3 linked regions of the Drosophila melanogaster genome follow. The protein of the gene in region 3 interacts with the protein of the main gene of each other region in a pairwise test. Each region holds a gene or a part of one and is shown on either strand. Other genes may lie near its edges.

Region 1 (6,436 bases), on a different chromosome or scaffold from region 3:
CCGGCGTAGATTTCGCAGATGGAGTGGAGCCTGTTAATGTTAAGATGGTACTTACCTTTGCTTGGCAGATTTGCAAGGGTATGGCTTACCTTTCTGAGTTAAAGGTGGGTAAGAGAAATAATTTTTTCAACCAATATATAGACGCCCTTTATCCTCCAGTTGGTTCATCGTGATTTGGCTGCTAGAAATGTGCTCCTTGCGGATGGCAAGATATGCAAAATATCAGATTTCGGACTGACTCGAGATGTTTACGAGGACGATGCCTATTTAAAGAGATCCCGAGATCGTGTGCCCGTCAAGGTAAGACCTCAAAATTAACCCCCTATAACATTAATATTAATCCGGAAACCCCTTTTAAAGTGGATGGCTCCGGAATCTTTAGCGGATCATGTGTATACCAGCAAATCGGATGTGTGGTCCTTTGGCGTTCTCTGCTGGGAACTAATCACTCTGGGAGCCTCTCCGTATCCTGGCATTGCTCCCCAGAATTTGTGGTCCTTGCTGAAGACGGGCTACCGCATGGACAGACCAGAAAACTGTTCGGAGGCTGTCTACTCTATAGTTCGAACTTGCTGGGCAGACGAGCCAAATGGAAGACCCTCATTCAAGTTTTTAGCATCGGAGTTTGAGAAGCTATTGGGAAACAATGCCAAGTACATAGATCTGGAAACGAATGCCGTTTCGAATCCCCTTTATTGTGGGGATGATTCCGCCTTAATAACCACGGAATTGGGCGAACCAGAATCGTTGCAGCACCTTTGGTCACCTCCCAAAATAGCCTACGACATCCATGACCAGGCCACCAGCTACGATCAGTCTGAGGAGGAGATGCCAGTGACTTCAACGGCTCCGCCGGGTTACGACTTACCACGACCTTTGCTTGATGCTACCGCCAACGGGCAGGTTTTGCGATACGAAAACGATTTGCGATTCCCCTTAAATATTCGGAAATCCAGTTGTACTCCAAGCTACAGCAACATGACCAGTGAACCTCCAGCGACCACCTCACTGCCACATTATTCTGTCCCCGTGAAGAGGGGTCGATCCTACCTGGATATGACCAACAAGAGTCTCATCCCAGACAACCTGGACAGCAGGGAGTTTGAAAAGCATCTGTCCAAGACCATCTCGTTCCGTTTCTCTAGTTTGCTGAATCTCAGTGAAACGAAGGAGGTGAGTCCAGGATGGCAAGCTGAGGATGCAGTCTAGAAATAGTGTTTCCCAGAGTTCTAATCTCACGCCTGTTTTTCAGTTCAAACTGTTTGTTGATTAGTCTTAGTTTTACATATAATCAATTAGCTTTACGTTGACGCCAAATATGGATTTTAAGATAACCGATTTCGATTTCAAATACTCCCAAGCATTTATACACTATTTTAACTAGCCAAAGACAGCCTTAGTTTTTTTTATTATTACTTCTTATTACTTTTGCTTCAAAAAGCCATATTCTTAAAAGATAATTAACTTTATTTGTAAATTGCCAAGTTCGTCCTATTATATGCCAGAAGAATGAATGGTTATCCCAAAGAATTTTTACACTCAATAAATAAAGTTTTTAAAGGAATATTTGTGCTTCAAAAGGGGTTTTCTGTATTTGGATATTTATTTCAATTTAAGATTGTAAAACTCTGCTAAAGTAAGCTAGGTTGATTTATAATGTCCATTTAATGTAATAGCAGTCATAATATAAGTTTCAATTTATTTACGCCATAAGCTAAACAATCATAAGTAACCTTCATTATTAATCATTGAGTACATCTGGTACATCTTAAACAATCTCACAGGCACTCTAGATATTTAGGTATTCGAACCAATGTACTTATTTATCGATGACTTTTATGACTTTAATGAATGTAAATACTTGCATCTACTGCATATGTTTAAATTAACTTTTAAAAATTATTTGAAATAATATAAAATAAAATAAACCAAATATAACAGATAGCGGCCAATTGGGGCATCACTCTTCATCGGGTACCAGCAAGTTGAGATTAGCACTGCCTGCTAGGCAGCCCATAAAGGTTTCCTCGTCTCCTCTCACGGATAGAGTTTCTCTACCAGTCAGTATCTTTTTCTCCCGTATCATAGCCGTCCTTTGCCATCGCGACCCCTTGCAATTCTTACAGCTCTGTTTGGGCAACTTGAATACGGTAGTAGTTCGATTTCCGCAGTCTTTGCACTGAAAGAATCGCTTTTCAGCATCGACCACCTTTAAGGGGTGCTTCTGCTCCTTGCAGCGATCGGAAGCGGAAAAGGCTGTGTACTTGCACACCTGGCAGATGACGGCCTTGCATGGCATCTTGTATGTGGTCAGCATCTTCTCTTCCATCGCTTCCTTGCGTTCAAGCTTGTTAAAGTACTCTTCCTGCGCTTCGCGCTCTCGCATTTCCACGAGATTCGTATGCGATGAGGTGGCTGCCATTATTTTTTCGATTCTTGATTTGCGCATTAACTCCCGATCGTCCTCATCAATTTTTTGTCGCTTGGCGCTGCTAGAGAACTTCTCGTTGAGTTCATCGATGGCTCTTCTCTTCCCACTTTCACTGCCTCGTGTGGAGTTGGGGTTGATCTTCTCCAGTGGCTTCTTCTTCAGCAGGGCAGCTGCTTTCAGCTTAGCATTTTGTGCCTGGCGAGATCCTACATTGATTTCAAAGGAAAAGTTCTCGCTACCGGAAAGCTTGGGCGTTAAACTGGCATCAAAGGAGAAGCCTCGATTTTTGAATTTATCTGGAACAGGTGTAGTGGGCATACTGACAGCGGGTGTGCCTGCTTCAGATTCTTTTTTGTTATCACTTCCCAAGACATGGCCCTCCGCCTGCTTCTTTTTTTCAAAGCGCTCATTTTCCTCTTTAAGCAGACGCAACCGCTCTAGATCTTGGACTCTCTGTTTCCTAGACGCTTCCACACCACCAGCCAAACGGGAAACAGGACCGCCACGTTCTGCATATGGAATTTTAGTGGGTTCGGCTGTTTTGGGCTTTGAGGTGTGGTTAGCGGTATGGGCGAAGGGGGAAACATCATAGCCAGCCAGCATACTCAGACGATCACGTTCCTTGGTGATTAACTTGGCACTTTTTCTTGCGGGAACTGCAGTAAATGTTTGGCCGCCGTAAAATACCTCGTTTTTGCCTTAACATAAAGAAAAAACTAAGTTATATTGAGTTTTCTTCAAAATCAAAGTCTACCTACCCAAAACCTTGTTTCTTAGTTCATTGATACCACGACCTGCGGTCGCCGATTGCAGTTCAGAACGTCGGGACATCTTGCCATATTCCTGCTTTACATGAAAAATGCAATAATCACAGTCGGTTAGGTTAACCACCGAAGTGCACTTGTCCCCATTTTTTTTGGTGGCCCGACATGTGCCCAAATCTTTGGATTGACCCAGGATCATGACTTTCTGGGAGCTATCGATGGATAGGCAGGCCACATCGGAGCTTCCCGCTCTCCTCTCGAAAATAGTTGGATTCAACACAGCCAAGCACAGACCCTCCGCTGTTTTCCACAGGGATTTGTGGGCCTCTTTAAAAAGGAAAAGTGAGATCGTTTTAACCTCTCCCCGTAGATCGGATAGTTTCCACGTGGAGTAGGGATCACCCTTCTTGGTGTTTTTTACAGGATTTTTGGAAACCAGCGCGCCAGCAATGACCCAATCTTTGGCCAAATCGCCTCGCTCGATGTGATACGCAACGCCTGAGAAGGGCACAGGTTTCCTGCCCGTCATGCGCTCCTGCAGCAGTGAGCTGGAGACTAGCGGATTGATCATGCGCAGTCCGAAGACTGGATCCGTAAAAACAGCAGATACGGGAGCACTTGACTGGGATGTAGATGCCACGGCGGCAGCGACTGGCGGAGGACGTTGAAACGTGGTGCTCACCGCCGATTGCCGTTTAATAGGATTATGCGGATTTTTCAGGGGTTGCGGGGTGGATGTAACCACGTGGATAGACTTCTTAAGCTCCTGATCCACCTCCCTCGCCACCTTGGACTCGTAGGCGTTCTCCTGCTGCTGCTTCAGTCTCTTGTTTATATCACTGCCGTACTCATTGTACTTTCGTTCCAGGAAGTTCTTTACCTCCTCGTCGTCGGACGAGTCCAGCTCTGGTTCCTTAATGATAGCAGCATTCTTCTGCTTTTCCGGTTTCACGATCTTCTCGAAGGTGAAGGCATTAGCAAAACTGTTGTCTTCTCGTAGTTTTGGCACCAAAATGGGTGCGGTGGGTTTTGCTTTTTCTGACTCTGCAGATTTTGTATTTTCGTTTTCTGCTGCACCCAGTAGTTTTTCCAGAGCCAGTATTTCCTCCTCATCATCGATACTAATATCTGTTCCGGATTTCTGAGCAGGACCCATTTCATTTGGGTAGATTTGTATTTTCACGTGTTCTCGTGTTTTTTCTTGGTTTTCTAAATAAGCGCAATAACATATCTGTTTTGGCGGGCTCAGTGTGACCGGGTAATGTATATGGTTCTACAAAAAGTGCTCGTTTGTCAACACTGTACAAACAGATTATAATTTTAATTATAATTCATTATTTAAAAGAATACTTAAGCACTCCTAATAAAGAAGTAATGTAATGTTATTAAGGAATTTTCATTGTTTTCGAAATAAATATAAATTTATTTATTTGGTAAATATTAATACCAAAAACGTTCACAGCTGGTATTTTTCGTTTGCAGCACAGCTGGATTTTTCCCAAATCCGAAATATGGTCATCCGCTCGTCAATAAGTCATCTTTCGGCTTTAATTCGCGAAAAAACTGCAGGAAATCCAAAAGGAAAGTCCCTGGAAGCGGCCATAATAACGCAGCCGTGAAAATCACAGGGATTTCATCGCCAGCTGTGTCGAGCAGCCCTGGATACGCGGAAAAGAAGCTGCAGCAGCCGAAGAAATTTTGAGTGTGTGCGTGAGGAAGGAAAACGGGGGACCGCAAACAACGGATCGCGAATTTCGTCTTAAGACAAAGTCTTGCGCTGCTTGTCACGGTATTCCACGGCCTTGCCGACGGACTTCCCGGTTCTGGAAAACCGCAGCCAGGCTAAAACGAGAGAAGGTGAGAGTCGCAATATGGCGAAAAAGATCCCCGATCCCAGCCAAATCGCCATGCGGTGCTGCTCCGCCCACAATTCCGCACCCCGCCCGTTGAATTCGCAAATTAGCTTCAACCGCATTTGCCTTTGCTTTTGTTGCGATTTTTTGTTCTCCGCATTTGCAATTTTTTAAATGTTTTGCAAATATATCCCGTGGCCATTTTGTGGTTATAAGCGCCGCTTGTTGGCGGCTCCACGTGTGTAAGTGTGCGTGCCTTCTGCATGTGTATTAAATTACAACCACGCGGCCGCCCTCTTTAGTTGTTGTTGCTGTGGTTTGTGCCGTTTCTGATAACCTCTTGCATGTTGTTATCAAAAATGAGAGAGAGCCAAAGGAGGAGCACGGCTTACATCACAGACATCGCATCGCTTCAGTGACCTAATGCACTCCTAACCTTCGGAGAGGCTTTTCATATTGCTGCTGCTGCGTTTTTACACACTTCAAGAGAAAATAAATGGCAAACAAGAAGACTTGCTACCGTCGATTTGTCTCCTGGATTGTTGTTGTTTATTTTTGTTTTCTATTTTACTTGTGCACTTTTCAGCTCTGTTTTCGTTTACCTGCCATTTTTCTCCGCTCATCTTTCGCTCTCTCTCGCTTCCGCTGCCACTCTCCTCTTAGTATTTTCGCCTGTCATCTGGCGGTCAGTAGCCGGCGCCCTCCCCCCTGACCCCATCACCATTACGTTCCGTTTCCTCCTCACATCCTCATCCTCATGCATCGAAATTTGTATTTTAAAATATATGTACTAAGTCGCCGATTACTTCGGGAATTCGAAAAGCATGTTCCTGACCTGCTGTTTTTCTAAATTCTTTGATGGGACAAATGTGTCTATAAAATTAAATGTTAACTTCCATGCTTTGATAATCTACTTTAGTATGTAGAAGTATATAGCATTGACAGATACTCCTGGCACAAAAATTCGTTTTTCATGTTGTTAATCCAAATTCAGTCTGTTGACCAAAATTATACAAAAATTATATCTATTTAATATTATTTTAAAAAACCAAACTATGATCATTTGGAGCACTTTTTCCTATGGTATCTATGATTTTATGCTGGCTGTGAATACACTCTGTCTTAAATTCTAACCACGGTTAAATAAACAGGTATTATTAAGATTAAGTTATAGGCTTATTCATATACGTAAATGTTTTATATTTGGTCAAATAAATAATACCCACAGAACGTAATCGTCGCGATGCACAGCGAATCATTTTTGGTAGGCGTCTCTCGGCCTTGTTTTTCGTCGCTTGTAAATTTCTTTCCACATTGCACAAATCATCTTTCTGTGACAAGAAAATATTTGCCAATGTTTATTGTCTATCGTAGAGCGTCCTGGCCAG
Region 2 (6,965 bases), on a different chromosome or scaffold from region 3:
TAATACACTCACTCAAACAAAAAGGGTAGGATCGATAATTGTTGTTGCGAATAATCGCAATTAAGTTACTTATTTGACGCGAACAAAACGCAAAGACGCAGACACACACACACGTTGAAATATTATATATGATATAGTATGTACTATTCAGCTGACGATCGAAATGCACGGCGTAACGTTCAGGTAACAAATGAAGAGAGTGATGCGCGAGCGTTGGGTTTTATATGCACGGGTTACCCAGACGGGGATTTCTTAAAAAAGTTGTTGGGTTAAAAAATGGCTTCAACGAAAACTAATTCAACATTAAATTGGAAATAGAGTCTCTCCATCTTTAGATTTTAACGATGTCCCTGTGTGTTTGCCTGCTTGTGTGTGTGTTTGCGTCTGCAGCAGAGAGCCTTCTGAATAGCGGTGATCAGTTCGCTGGAACTGGAAATTCATTACGGAGTTCTTTAGCTTTCTTCCAGTGGCGAGAATTTCGTAAACAACGCAAAAGGAAGCACTCGCTGCCGCAATACTTACATACGTGTATGTAACTGTCAATTTAGTTTGTTATTTAAAAAATATATATATTTATTTTTTTGATATATCTAGCACCTTTTTTGCTTATTATTTCTAACCTTTATATTGTGTTTTTTCCTATGTGTATGAGTGTGTAATTTTATGTTGGAATTTGAGCGTGTAACACTTATTTACAAAATAGAATTAAACGAACACATAACTTTGACTTGAAAGTCGTGGAAAATCCAGCCTAAAATGATCGTTTCGATCGATTAATGTCATTTACAAAGTTTGGTCACACTATTTGGTTGGTTTAATTCCAAAGATAAAAATACCAACGGTATTCTTTGGAGACCAGAATGTTTAATTTGTAGAATTTTAAAATATTTAAAAATATATTGATCATATTTTAAATAAACTTGTACCCTCCGCTTTTTAAAGAATATACATTTTAATATAAATAAAAGTATATTTTATTCTTTAAATTTAAATAAGCAAATTAATCCTTAACAATTCTGTTCCATAAAAAGCTCAAATAAAAATTTGTTATTTTACATGTAGCTCACAGAATGGGATAAACGTTACACATTATTTATATAATATATTTATCTTAAACCTACTTATCAATCTACAAACAGACTATTTCTTTGCCAGCTTCAGCTTTTCGGATCCAAAGATGACTCCAGTGTCGCCCAGTTTGCGCTTCATAGCAAAGGGATTAACCGAATTCAAAGGGGACCGGTGATCGGTGGCTTTACCCATGGGAACCTCGGATTCCGATTCGCCGAATATGTTTTCCTGGGTGTCCAGCGGAGAGGGTGTGATATCCGGAGTCGAGGGCCGGGATGCTGCCGATGCTGCTGCTGCTTTAAACATATTGGGTGAATTGACCAATCTCTTCAGGGTGCCCCGTTTGGCCGAGCTCAGCTCGATGGCCTTGGGTTTTGGGCCGCTTTGTGAGGCCGATGTGGGAGTCATTGGCAGAACAATGGTGGCCGCAATGCCGCTGGCACCCAACAAAGTCTGCTGCTTGCGTGCCTCCTGGACCGCCTCCAATTGAGGTAGCAGTTCGCACAGACGGTCGGACAGGTGGATGCGTCCACGTTTCGTGGCGTATTTCACGGCCAGTTGAAGCAGATCAGTGCAGGCAATCGATTCGATCAATTCCCTAGCTCGCGTCTCGCACTCGCTGCTGCAGGCCAATGCAAACAGCTTGATGGCCGTCTCCTTTTGCATCTTCTCTGCCCCATCCATTTGCATCAGACTGGACCGCAGCAGTGCATCCTCCAGCTCGGACTTTTCCACTTCGACGTCGCAGAGCGGGATCTGCATACGCAGTTCCTGGAGCATGGGACGCGGATTGGTCATGGGATAGGAGGTACCGCGGCACAGGACCGCCTGGACTATCTGACGTTTCTCGGATACAGCGACCACAAAGAAGTTGTGCGACACACTGGTGCTTTGCTTCATGGTGTCGCAGATGGGGAACCAGGCGTTGCTGCTCCGGCGATACAACTGCAGCAGACCCATGTTGTCGGCAATACTCGGCGATCCGGTGTCGCTGTACCCAAACCAGGTGAGCTGCCGGCCTGGAGTCAGCGGAACGGGCAGATATTCTTGTCGCAAACTCAATCCATTTATGTTCACCAACATCGCGGCGAGATGCTGCTGCGTCTGACTGGGCGCGGAACTGTGGTAAACAACCATTAGGCTGTGCTCGTGTCCAGCAATAGCCACCATTGGTCCTGGTATGGTTAGCACCTCACGCTGTGTACCCATCACGGTGAAGATACGCAGAAAACTGGAGCTGGTGGCCACAGCCACTAGAAATCGCGTGGCCACAACAGCCTCTGCACTCTCGCAATCCGGGAGGCTGAGTGACCACTCTTTGTTTCCGGCGGCGGCCAGAGCAATGACTACTAACTTGCTGGATTCGTTGGAGGCCAATGCCAAAGCTCCACTGCTCACACTGGCCAAATTGTGCTGATTGTAGTTACTAATGTGTAGAGCGTGGTGAATACTAGCGTCGTGGAACTCCACATCGATGGAGCTATCGCCTGAGGGCTCCACATGGGCGGTAACAATGCCCACATCATTCCATGCCATGTAGCGATGCTCTAGATCGGCCGGTGTGGCACTGGGCTGAAAGGCCGTCTGCTGCTTGAAGAGCTTGATTTGCGGGGCAACGGGTGCAGGTACAGTTCGGCTACTGCTGTCCAGGGATTGGTTGGAGGCGTCATCGTGATCTACGGGATCCGCAAAGTTCATCACCTTGCGCTTAAGCTGTTCCAGACTAACGCCATCGCCGTCGTCTGCTGCAGTGTCCACGTCATCGCCGGCCTCAAACTCATAGTCATCGCCCAACAGCTCGGCTTGGTCGTCCACCAATCCATCGCCGTTGCCTGTGTCGACTGCATCGCCAAGAAATACGGTTCCCAGCTGGCCAGTGGCATCGCAGAAGGCCACCTCCACCTCTCCGGACAGATTCCAGGCAAGGCATGTTATGGCATTGCAGTCGCTTGGCGGAATCTCCACTGTTACTGCCTTCCGTTTCTTTACATCGAAGATGCTCACCTCGCCCTTGGTTGTTCCGGCGGCCAGGCGCTCACCATTGGGCGAGAACTGGCAGCAGCTGTAGTTACTGGACACCGAGTCGTCGCGCAGCTTAAAGGCCACTTCCCAGTTGGCCGTGTTGAGGACCACAATCTCGTTGTCAACGGCATAGGCCAGAAGTTCACCGCTTTGTGGCTCGAAATGCGGAGTGCCATACAGGCTGGCGCTCTCGAAACTGTTGACCTTTGGCAAGCCCCCAATGGTCTTCAGCTCCTTGCCCTCCTCGAAGTTCCACACCTTCAGTTGGCCATCCCCGGCCACGGAAACCAGCAGCTTTCGCTCCGCAAACAAGTCCAGTGCCAGAATGGGACCAGTGTGCCCCTCCAGCACCGTTTCGTTGCCAGCTGTATCTCCCTTAAGCACCTTTATAGTGGTATCCTCGCTGCCGGCAGCAGTATAGCCACCGGATACCTTGAGGCACGTAGCCGGTGCCGTGAATCGCATGAGGATGCCATCGCTGTCCATCTCGGGAAAGGTGTAGGCATGGATCGTATTCCGATCCGTCGAGGCCAGCAAACGGGTTCCCGTGTGGGCTATGCACATGACGAACTCGCCCAGGCAACTTGAGCGTGGATCGTCGTCACTAATGCAGGTCCAGTGCCGGATGTCTCCATCTGTGCCGCACGTGATGATGAACTCGCCGCGCGGAGTGTAAAGGAGTCCCGTGTAGCCATTGGTGTGGGCATAGCGCAGGGCACTGCGCAAGAAGCTCATGATGTGATTTAATGCTTAATTTCAATTGATCTCTCGCGATGACCTCCCGTCACTTTTGGCGCCAAAACAAATAGGCACTACCTAACAGTGTAAGCCAACGGCCGAATGGGAATGTCTTGATGTCGCTCTTTTCCAGCACTGGCCAACAGCTGTTCGTTCAATACTCTTTCTTTTTAAATATTAAAAAAAATATATCACCACGTTCCCGTTAATAATTTAAATTCAATAATACGTGAAACATTGTATACATAATTTGTAAATAGTCACACATGACGTTTCAATTGTTTAAACAACATTGGTATTACTTTCATAAATAGAAAAATTTAAGAATCCACAAGATATAAGACATGTAGGGTATACATACTTCGACTTTCCATTTTAAAAATGTAATATTTTCATTTTCCCGCAGCCGGTTGCTTATTACAGCACTGCTCTGATCAAAAGTCGGAATATGTTAAGAAAATTAACAAAACTATCGACCTTAAAGGTCAAATGTGAACTCCGCGCCCTATCCTCACTCACCCAAACATCGCAACATATATTTGACCGCAATGCCAAGAGATTACAGAAGGAAAGGGCCGCACTCAGGTGAGATCTTCTCGCCAGGATTAGAGTATATATTCAATTAGTAAACAATATACGTATACAGCGAAGACGTTGGACTATACGATTACTTGAAGGAGGAGATCGGCTTCCGCCTGGCTGACAGAGTATTCGACATTAAGCGGGAGTTCAAGGCGGCGGCGGATATCGGATGCAGTCGCGGCTATCTGTCCAGACACATTCTGGCGGAGAGTGTGGAGCAGCTGACGCTCACGGACACCAGTGCTACGATGCTGGAGCAGGCACAGGGCACTCCGGGTCTGAAAATGGTGAAACTAGTTAAGGACGAAGAGCAGCTGGATGTGGGTAATTAATCTACTTAGACCAAAGTTGCAAGTCTAAATGAGAATCCCTTTCAGTTTGAGGACAATTCACTGGATCTGGTCATCTCTAGCCTAAGTCTGCACTGGGTGAATGATCTGCCGGGCTGCTTTGTCAGAATTAAGCAGAGTCTGAAACCGGATGGGGTCTTTATAGCCTCCATGTTTGGTGGAGACACCCTCTACGAGCTGCGCTCCTCGCTCCAATTGGCCGAGCTGGAGCGCAAAGGTGGCATATCTCCGCACATCTCGCCCTTCACTCAGATTAGGGATATTGGTTCCCTGCTTAATCGCGCCGGCTTCACCATGCTGACAATAGACACCGATGAACTGGTCATCGGCTATCCCAGCATGTTCGAACTGATGTGGGATCTCAAGGGTATGGCAGAGAACAATGCTGCATTCAATCGACCCGCTCATCTTAGTCGAGAAACGATGCTCGCGGCCAGTGCCATCTACCAGGAGCTGTATGCAAAGCCCAACGAGAAGGGGATACCTGCAACCTTCCAAATCATCTACTTTGTGGGCTGGAAACCCGGTCCCAATCAGCCACAGCCTCTGGAAAGAGGAACCGGTGAGGTGTCGCTCAAGGATCTAGGGTCGATTATCGAAAAGGGCGGCAAGCTGGACACCAAAGCGGGAGATTAGCTTAGCTTCAGTTGACAGTTTTATTTGGAGACGTTGTTGAACATAATTTAAATTAAAATATACATAATTCCTTTTGCTGAGAAACTTAAACTAGTGATTCATGTTTGTGTAAAGTTTAATCATGAAATTAATGGTAAATACTCAATTCATTTGTCAGTTTGCTCGGTTCGTGTACTGCTATGAGGGTATAACTATACATAAATCTAGCGTAATCGTACGATTCTGTTATCTATAGTTTTCAATTAATATTTGGTTGCCTTTCGCCTTTACATTCGTTTGCATTTCATGGACGTAACTTTTTAACGTTGCTTTGTATTTTGTTTGGTACGTATATACAAGTACAATTTACAACAATTTCTATAATATATATGCTTGAGTTGAATTCAATTTGCAATTAAATAGACTTCTAACCGCTTTGTAGTTGTATTAGATACGATTTGCTCTTGCTTAAATATTGTTCCATTAGCAGTTTTTATGTATTTTATGTAATTCTCGATTGCTTTTATCAATTGTTTAACTCGTAACTGTTGTAAATTTAATTTGGCGCATCTAAGTCACTACCAAGTCGTGCCCCAAGCTTCCCGCGGTGTATGTACAAAGTGTGTGTGTGTGTGGTCTCATTCTCTCGAAGCTTGGTGATTGCTATTGGCTGCACCCATGGAAGGCCTAGCTCTAGTGTTTGCAGCGGTGGCAGGGCTTGAAGACTTAAGGCTAATCAAAGGCAGACGACGGCTAGTACCAGGAACTAGGTGATCCCGCTCCGGTTGGCCGCCGCCTTTTGCTTTGCTAGTCATCCCAGCGACAGCGGAGATCTCGGCGGCACGGGCGGCGGTGTGGGCGTAGCTCTCGGTGAGGATGTGGGGCTAGCTTCCGTTGCTCCTGCTACTGCTAATCCCGCAGAGGTGGCTGTGGTGAGTGTTTGGCGATTCTCTGCAGCTGCCTGCGCCGCGACGGACGCGGGCGGCAGTTGACGTCAGGTGCCCAGGAGCATCTCGCGCTGCGGAGTGTTCTGCAGCATGTTGGCGGTCCTCAGGTGAATGCTACAAAGGATGTGGTCGTAGAAGATGAGCCTAACGATGCTTTCAAGGAGTTACAGTCAAAATAATATGGAAATTATAGATCTTATAGATCTGATTGTGACCAAGATTATTTTGACTGTAACCGACTATGGATATATACTCACTTGTTGTCCTCCAGCGACATCGTTTCCGAGGAGCCGTGCGAGGCAACTGAAGTACCTGCAAGCGAACTTCGTATTGAGTGCGAATCCTCGGGAACGGTAAGCGTAACTAATAAATTGCGTTTATAGGAATTTCGTATTTTTTGTCGATTTGGTTTGACCAATCCCAGTTCGTCGTGTTGCCAATGCGTTGGGAAAAAAATTTGGTTTTTGGAAAATTGCATTTAGTTTTCAATTGTGGCTGTGATTGTGGCAATGTGAAATTTTTGTTAGCTGTGTTAGTGTTCTTGTGTTTTTTGTACTTGTTTGTGAGGTGCAAATCGAGTCGATTACTTCGTACTAATACTGTTTTCTTAGCCTGAAACATATATTGTAGTACAATAAAC
Region 3 (6,806 bases):
TGGGATGATAGCATATGGATAATACGAAATAAAAAAAACAATATTATCAAGACCAGGCGGTTATTTTATATTATTTATATGTACTCAGCTAATATTACATGTTTCAGAATCGAAACCAATTTACTTCCACTTTCTCCAATGCTTTTAATTTTATTTTAATTAAGGGAAGCGTAGCTGAATAACAACCCATTCACAATATTTGGAAATAACGTATGTAATGTAATGAATAAATGTATAGCCTATTCCTAATTTATGGGAAACGTGTTTTGGCGCACTGCGCATGGAACTCAGTTTGATGAGCCAATGCCGGTTAGCTCCTGCAGCTCCTTGAGCAAGTGCTTATTGTACTCCTTGTGATTGATAGGGGCTACAGACTGCACAGTGAGCTTGTTGCGAGTCATGTCCCCGTAAACCTCGTTCTTGCAGCGCAGCTTAAAGATGTGTGAAGTGAAGTTGAGTGCTGAGAAAATCTGCTCGGCTTTGGCAGGGTCGTTCTCAAGGGCCTCACCCACTTCCTGCGAAGTGTGCCCGAGAAGCTGTTCACCGACCTCGTTAAAACTGCTGACCCAACGGTTGGAAGTCCAGTCCCCGATGCTCATCTAAAAAAAAGGTATTGATATCAGTTAATGAAATTGTATTTAAAGTTAGAAAGCTAAATGTTTCACAGCAAATACATACGTTGATCAGCAGTCGGTACTTAAAGTTGGGAAACAGTGCGTTACATTTCTCGCAGCGGAACTGGTCGTTGCCCTCATCGACAACCTTCTTGTTGCAGTCGCTCTGAGGGCAGGCTCGGTAGAAAGCATTTTCCTGTTTGACAATGTGCACCACTGCCTTGCACTGGAAGTAATCAGGCTTGTCGCCGCTGCCGAGATTGCGAGCCCGCGCATCCTTAAGCGTCATCCATTCAGTAGAGAAGCTTCCTCCGCCCGTTCGCGCCGAAACCATATTGGCGACACTGTCACCACCTCCATTGTCGAACCAGCCGCGCAGCTTATGTGCCTCGGGTATATCGGGGTTAATCTTCATGATTGAGCCACCGCCGAGGCTCAAGGACTTTCCGCCATTGAACTCGTTAATGCGTGTTCCCTTGACCAGGATCACAGGCTGCACATGACCGTCAAAGTTAACGGCATCATCCCCCCAAAGGGTCAAGCTGATGGCCGAGTTACTCATGTCCACTAGGGTTATGTCCCGTTTCTTGAATTCCTTGTTTGTGGTGCGAGCTACGAATGATTGCAACTCGCCCACCTCCTTGCAAATTCCTATTGTGTCTACCGCTGCTTTATTTTCCATACCCGACACATCGGAAATAGGAACAAGGTTGTACTTAATTTCCGGTATGGGATCATCGTCGGTATCCTCACAAAGCTGGACAACTGTTTCACCGGAAAAAGTCATCTCGTAGGCGTTGTTCAGCGAAGAGTACTGCTTGTTTGCCGGTTTCAATTGACACTTTGATATATAGTACACGCTATCCACTTGAATGAGGTCGTAGAACTTATCGCACTGTTCCTTGAAGGCAGTGGCCCGAATTTCGCCCGATTCGTCCATTAAATCCATGCTGAACAACTTGCCCTCGCCGCGGGCATTGCTCCAGGTGCGAATGCCGGATTTTGAGGTCACGCGAGCCTTAATCACCCACTTATTTTGGTAGGGACTTAGGCTAGAAATGGGATGTGTCATTCCACTATTAATAGAGGAATTCATTACTATGTTATTATTGTTGTTGTGGCTCGGTTCCTTTTTGGCAATTGGCTTGGAATTAGATGTTACTGCTGGCTTAGGCGCCAGATCCTGCTTGGCTGCATTTTCATACGTAACGGGTTCGCCAATTTTGGACTTAACCTCGGCGCCAGGATTCACCACAGTTAGTTCGGAAATGATGAGAACGCGTCTAAAAGGAAAACATATGTTACTATACTGTCGAAAGTCTGTTTTACAGCGTACTTACTTTCCGGCTCCGTCCTTGCCTACCAGTGAGGTCACATATTTATCTAGCTGGACAATGGTGAACTCCTCTAATTCTCCATTGTGCTGCATCACGTTCAGCTGACTGGCCAGCATCGCATAGCTGTTAAAGTACTTGCCGTCGGAGATTAGGATGCGATAGCGCTCTGAGTCCGCTGCGCTGTTAATCTTCTTGATTGCCAGGATCTGGAGAACCGGGGCATCCACAACCTCGCCATGCATAATGCGCTGTGGCCGGTAGTACGATGTGTTACTATACCAATCCATTATTTTAAGCTGGCATACTTACAGCAATCACACCAGTGGACAAAGATGCCAGGACCATTTTGATTATAAAAATAAGTTGGGCAATTTCACAAGCAAATATAATTCATGCGTCGAGGGCTGGGTACAAAGTGAAGCTAGAAGAGGCGGGAAGGGCTTCTGTGTAATTTTGAATCAGTTGTTGCGGAACTAGTTCAATTTGCTTTCCAGTTAGAGCTGTATTTCAGGGCAGTAAAGTTTTGGTTGCTTAAGAGAAAACATTTATTTTACTTTATTATTACTATTTCCTACAGCAACATATTGAGAATAATTGTCTATTATTTTGACACATAGCTTTAAGCTTGACTTACATTGTTTGTGTTAATGCTCACAACTAGTTATTGTAAGCATTTCTATTTCAATGGAATTATAAATATTTAATAACTGTGTGATATTTTATTGACACATTCTTTGTATTAAAGCCTACATTCAGTGCCTTGTAAACTTTTTAAATTGAATGGTGTAATATATATATTTAAAATTTTTTGTAAGCTCTTTAAACTCGGTGATATTTTATTGACACAAGGAAAGTTGTTACAGTCGGGTGTTCTTATAAACATGTATGCAGAAGCGGGTGTCCACTGTATGACCCAGACGTTAACAGCACTGCTTATCGGAACTAGACCGCAGCCCTGAGTTGGCTCGATTAGCAAACATTTTCCCGCGCATTTTCGCACGCGTCGTCACAACAAGATCGGCGGTACAAAACAAAACATATTACAGATAAACGCTAAGCACAACAGACGCACGTAATGGACAATCCCAGTTCACCACCGCCAAATACGCCCAGCGATGCCGCCGAACGCCGCGATCTGCGGGCAGCAATGACGTCGCCGGTTGGCGACTTTGAGCCGTTCGAGAACGAGGACGAGATCCTGGGAGATCAGACCGTTCGCGATGAGGCCGAGGAGGAGGATGGCGAGGAGCTGTTCGGGGACAACATGGAGAACGATTACCGGCCCATGCCTGAGCTGGATCACTACGATCCGGCGCTGCTGGACGACGAGGATGACTTCTCGGAGATGTCCCAGGGCGATCGCTTTGCCGCCGAGTCGGAGATGCGTCGACGCGACCGGGCCGCCGGAATCCACCGCGACGATCGTGATCTGGGTTTCGGTCAGTCCGATGATGAGGACGACGTTGGACCCCGGGCCAAGAGACGAGCTGGCGAGAAGGCAGCTGTTGGCGAGGTAGAGGACACCGAGATGGTGGAGTCTATTGAAAACCTGGAGGATACCAAGGGACACTCAACTAAAGAGTGGGTCAGTATGCTAGGACCACGCACGGAAATCGCCAATCGCTTTCAATCCTTTTTGAGAACTTTTGTGGATGAAAGGGGCGCATACACCTATCGTGATCGCATACGTCGGATGTGCGAGCAGAACATGTCTTCGTTCGTCGTCTCCTACACTGATCTGGCCAACAAGGAACACGTATTGGCCTATTTCCTGCCCGAGGCTCCCTTTCAAATGCTCGAGATTTTCGATAAAGTGGCTAAGGACATGGTGCTCTCCATTTTCCCCACTTACGAACGTGTCACCACAGAGATTCACGTGCGCATCTCGGAGCTGCCGCTGATCGAGGAGCTGCGCACATTCAGAAAACTGCATCTGAACCAGTTGGTTCGCACTTTGGGCGTGGTAACTGCCACCACCGGAGTTCTTCCCCAGCTATCCGTGATCAAGTACGACTGCGTTAAGTGCGGCTATGTGCTGGGTCCCTTCGTTCAGTCGCAAAATACGGAGATAAAGCCCGGTTCCTGCCCAGAGTGCCAGAGCACTGGACCCTTCTCAATCAACATGGAGCAGACGTTGTATCGAAATTATCAAAAGATCACGTTGCAGGAGTCGCCAGGCAGGATTCCAGCCGGACGCATTCCTCGCAGCAAGGATGTCATTTTGCTCGCTGATTTGTGTGATCAATGCAAGCCTGGAGATGAACTTGAGGTCACAGGTATATATACCAATAACTACGATGGCTCCTTGAACACCGACCAAGGATTTCCCGTGTTTGCCACCGTGATTATTGCCAATCATGTGGTTGTAAAGGACTCCAAGCAGGTAGTGCAGTCGCTTACGGACGAGGACATTGCCACCATTCAGAAGTTGAGCAAGGATCCGCGTATCGTAGAGCGTGTAGTAGCATCCATGGCGCCTTCTATATACGGACATGATTATATCAAGAGGGCGCTGGCCTTAGCTCTCTTTGGGGGTGAGTCAAAGAATCCCGGTGAGAAACACAAGGTTAGAGGTGATATAAACCTACTCATCTGTGGAGATCCCGGAACGGCAAAGTCGCAGTTCCTCAAGTACACCGAAAAGGTTGCGCCACGTGCGGTTTTCACGACTGGGCAGGGAGCCAGTGCCGTGGGTCTCACGGCTTATGTGCGCCGCAATCCAGTATCTCGGGAGTGGACATTGGAAGCGGGTGCTCTGGTTCTGGCTGATCAGGGAGTTTGTCTAATCGACGAGTTCGACAAAATGAACGACCAGGATCGTACCTCTATTCACGAAGCCATGGAGCAGCAGTCTATTTCGATTTCCAAGGCTGGTATTGTCACCTCTCTTCAAGCTCGTTGCACCGTGATTGCTGCTGCCAATCCCATTGGCGGTCGCTATGATCCGTCGATGACCTTCTCGGAGAACGTGAATCTCTCGGAGCCCATCCTGTCCCGTTTCGATGTGCTGTGCGTGGTGAAGGACGAATTTGACCCCATGCAGGATCAGCAGCTCGCCAAATTCGTGGTACACTCGCATATGAAGCATCACCCGAGTGAGGAGGAGCAGCCGGAGTTGGAGGAACCACAGCTGAAGACCGTTGATGAGATCCCGCAGGACTTGTTGCGACAATACATTGTATACGCTAAGGAGAACATTCGGCCCAAGCTAACGGTAAGCGAACTTATTGAAATCACAGGAAAAGTGTAACAACATTTCCGTTTCATACAGAACATCGACGAGGACAAGATCGCCAAGATGTACGCCCAGCTGCGACAGGAGTCTTTTGCCACGGGCTCACTGCCCATTACGGTGCGTCACATTGAGAGTGTCATCCGAATGTCCGAAGCGCACGCGCGGATGCATCTGCGCGAAAACGTAATGGAGGCAGATGTCAGCATGGCCATCCGCATGATGTTGGAGAGCTTTATCGAGGCGCAGAAGTTCAGCGTTATGAAGAAGATGCGCAGCACATTCCAGAAGTACCTGTCCTTCCAAAAGGACCATTCCGAGCTGCTGTTCTTTATTCTGCGACAGCTGACGCTCGACCAGCTCGCCTACATTCGCTGCAAGGACGGGCCTGGCGCCACACATGTGGAGATTATGGAGCGGGATTTGATCGAACGGGCTAAGCAGCTGGATATTGTAAACCTGAAGCCGTTCTACGAATCAGATCTGTTTCGCACAAATGGCTTCTCTTACGATCCCAAGCGACGCATCATCCTTCAAATTGTGGTCGACGGCAACACAGCTTAAGTTTCAGCCATTTACTTCATCTCATTTAGTTATAGTATTCATGTTTTGTTACCCCCATTTTCGGTCTAATAAAGTTTGATATACTTATGTATGTATTTATACTAAAATAGGTATTTGAATTGAAATTTATACTTCCGTAAATATTTTTTATTGTGCATACAAATCAGCCCCAGAGTATGTCAATCGTTGTTCCCTTCGATGCCCATGGCTTTGTCGAAATCTTCCTCGCTAATCTTGTTCTTTTTCAGCCGCTTGAAGAGCCGAATATCGCTGGCCAGTTCATCGAGGTCCTCCTGGCTGAACTGCTGCCTCTTTTTTCCCTTCCCGGACCTGCTCGCCTCCGCCTCTGCCGCTTTCTTTCGCTGCTTCTTCGCCTTGCGCAGCTCCTTCTTAGACTTGGCATCCAGTTTTGCCTTCTTTGTCTGATCCCAGGACTCAACACGCTTTTTGTGCTGCTTTTGGCCCGGCCAGCTTCCCGTTTGCTCGTAAGTTTCCATTTTCTTTTGCCGGACTTGTTCTTTCTGGGCGTTTTTGTAGGTAAGTTTGGATAAATCCACTTCAAAAGCAGGCGCCACATAGCCGCCGCCCTGGTAGTTCTTTAGCTCCGGCATGCGTGGCAGTTGCAGGAGACCGTAAGCAGTGGCCATCTTGCCCAGGTCCAGATCCTTTAGTCGCAGAATAGCGCTGCATTCGTGTTTGGTGTATGCTCTAACATGGGAAACAAAAGCGCGCATGCCTTTGTCATAGACGCCCTTGTCGGCCGCCTGCAGCCGATGGAGTTGATCTAAGACGGCTGGTAGCTTCTTTTTTTCACGATCTGCATCCTCAGCCTCCTCGGTTAGCAGTTTAGTTAGCTCCACTTTCTGGTTGATCTTCAGGAAGTGCACATAGGCATCCTCGCTGGGCAGGAGAAACACCAGAGCGTTGCCCTCGTTTCCCTGCCGAGCCGTGCGACCTACACGGTGTACAAAGCTGGAGGCAGTTGATGGTGGATCCCACTGCACTACCCACTCGATCTCAGGTACATCCAAACCACGTGCGAGGACATCTGTGCAGAGG

Evidence for each region.
Region 1: the proteins of Mcm2 (region 3) and Mcm10 interact in a two-hybrid assay, tested with the Drosophila melanogaster proteins (one study listed by BioGRID).
Region 2: the proteins of Mcm2 (region 3) and Ctf4 interact in a two-hybrid assay, tested with the Drosophila melanogaster proteins (one study listed by BioGRID).

The regions. Positions count from the first base shown.
Region 1 is NT_033779.5:21,177,946-21,184,381, reverse strand, and holds Mcm10 (minichromosome maintenance 10), read right to left. Parts: upstream 4,450-6,436; 5' UTR 4,352-4,449; coding exon 3,190-4,351; intron 3,130-3,189; coding exon 1,961-3,129; 3' UTR 1,570-1,960; downstream 1-1,569. Other genes in the region: Ret oncogene, read left to right, coding at 1-104, 160-300, 361-1,209. UniProt on the Drosophila melanogaster protein: Proposed to be involved in DNA replication and to participate in the activation of the pre-replication complex (pre-RC). May be involved in chromosome condensation.
Region 2 is NT_033778.4:13,979,408-13,986,372, forward strand, and holds Ctf4 (chromosome transmission fidelity 4), read right to left. Parts: upstream 3,911-6,965; 5' UTR 3,829-3,910; coding exon 1,141-3,828; 3' UTR 955-1,140; downstream 1-954. Other genes in the region: CG8067 (uncharacterized protein), read left to right, coding at 4,280-4,416, 4,478-4,733, 4,791-5,399.
Region 3 is NT_033777.3:8,262,075-8,268,880, forward strand, and holds Mcm2 (minichromosome maintenance 2), read left to right. Parts: upstream 1-2,895; 5' UTR 2,896-3,026; coding exon 3,027-5,165; intron 5,166-5,222; coding exon 5,223-5,747; 3' UTR 5,748-5,850; downstream 5,851-6,806. Other genes in the region: RPA1 (replication protein A1), read right to left, coding at 288-599, 679-1,897, 1,955-2,199, 2,261-2,296; CG9630 (uncharacterized protein), read right to left, coding at 5,927-6,806. UniProt on the Drosophila melanogaster protein: Acts as a component of the MCM2-7 complex (MCM complex) which is the replicative helicase essential for 'once per cell cycle' DNA replication initiation and elongation in eukaryotic cells.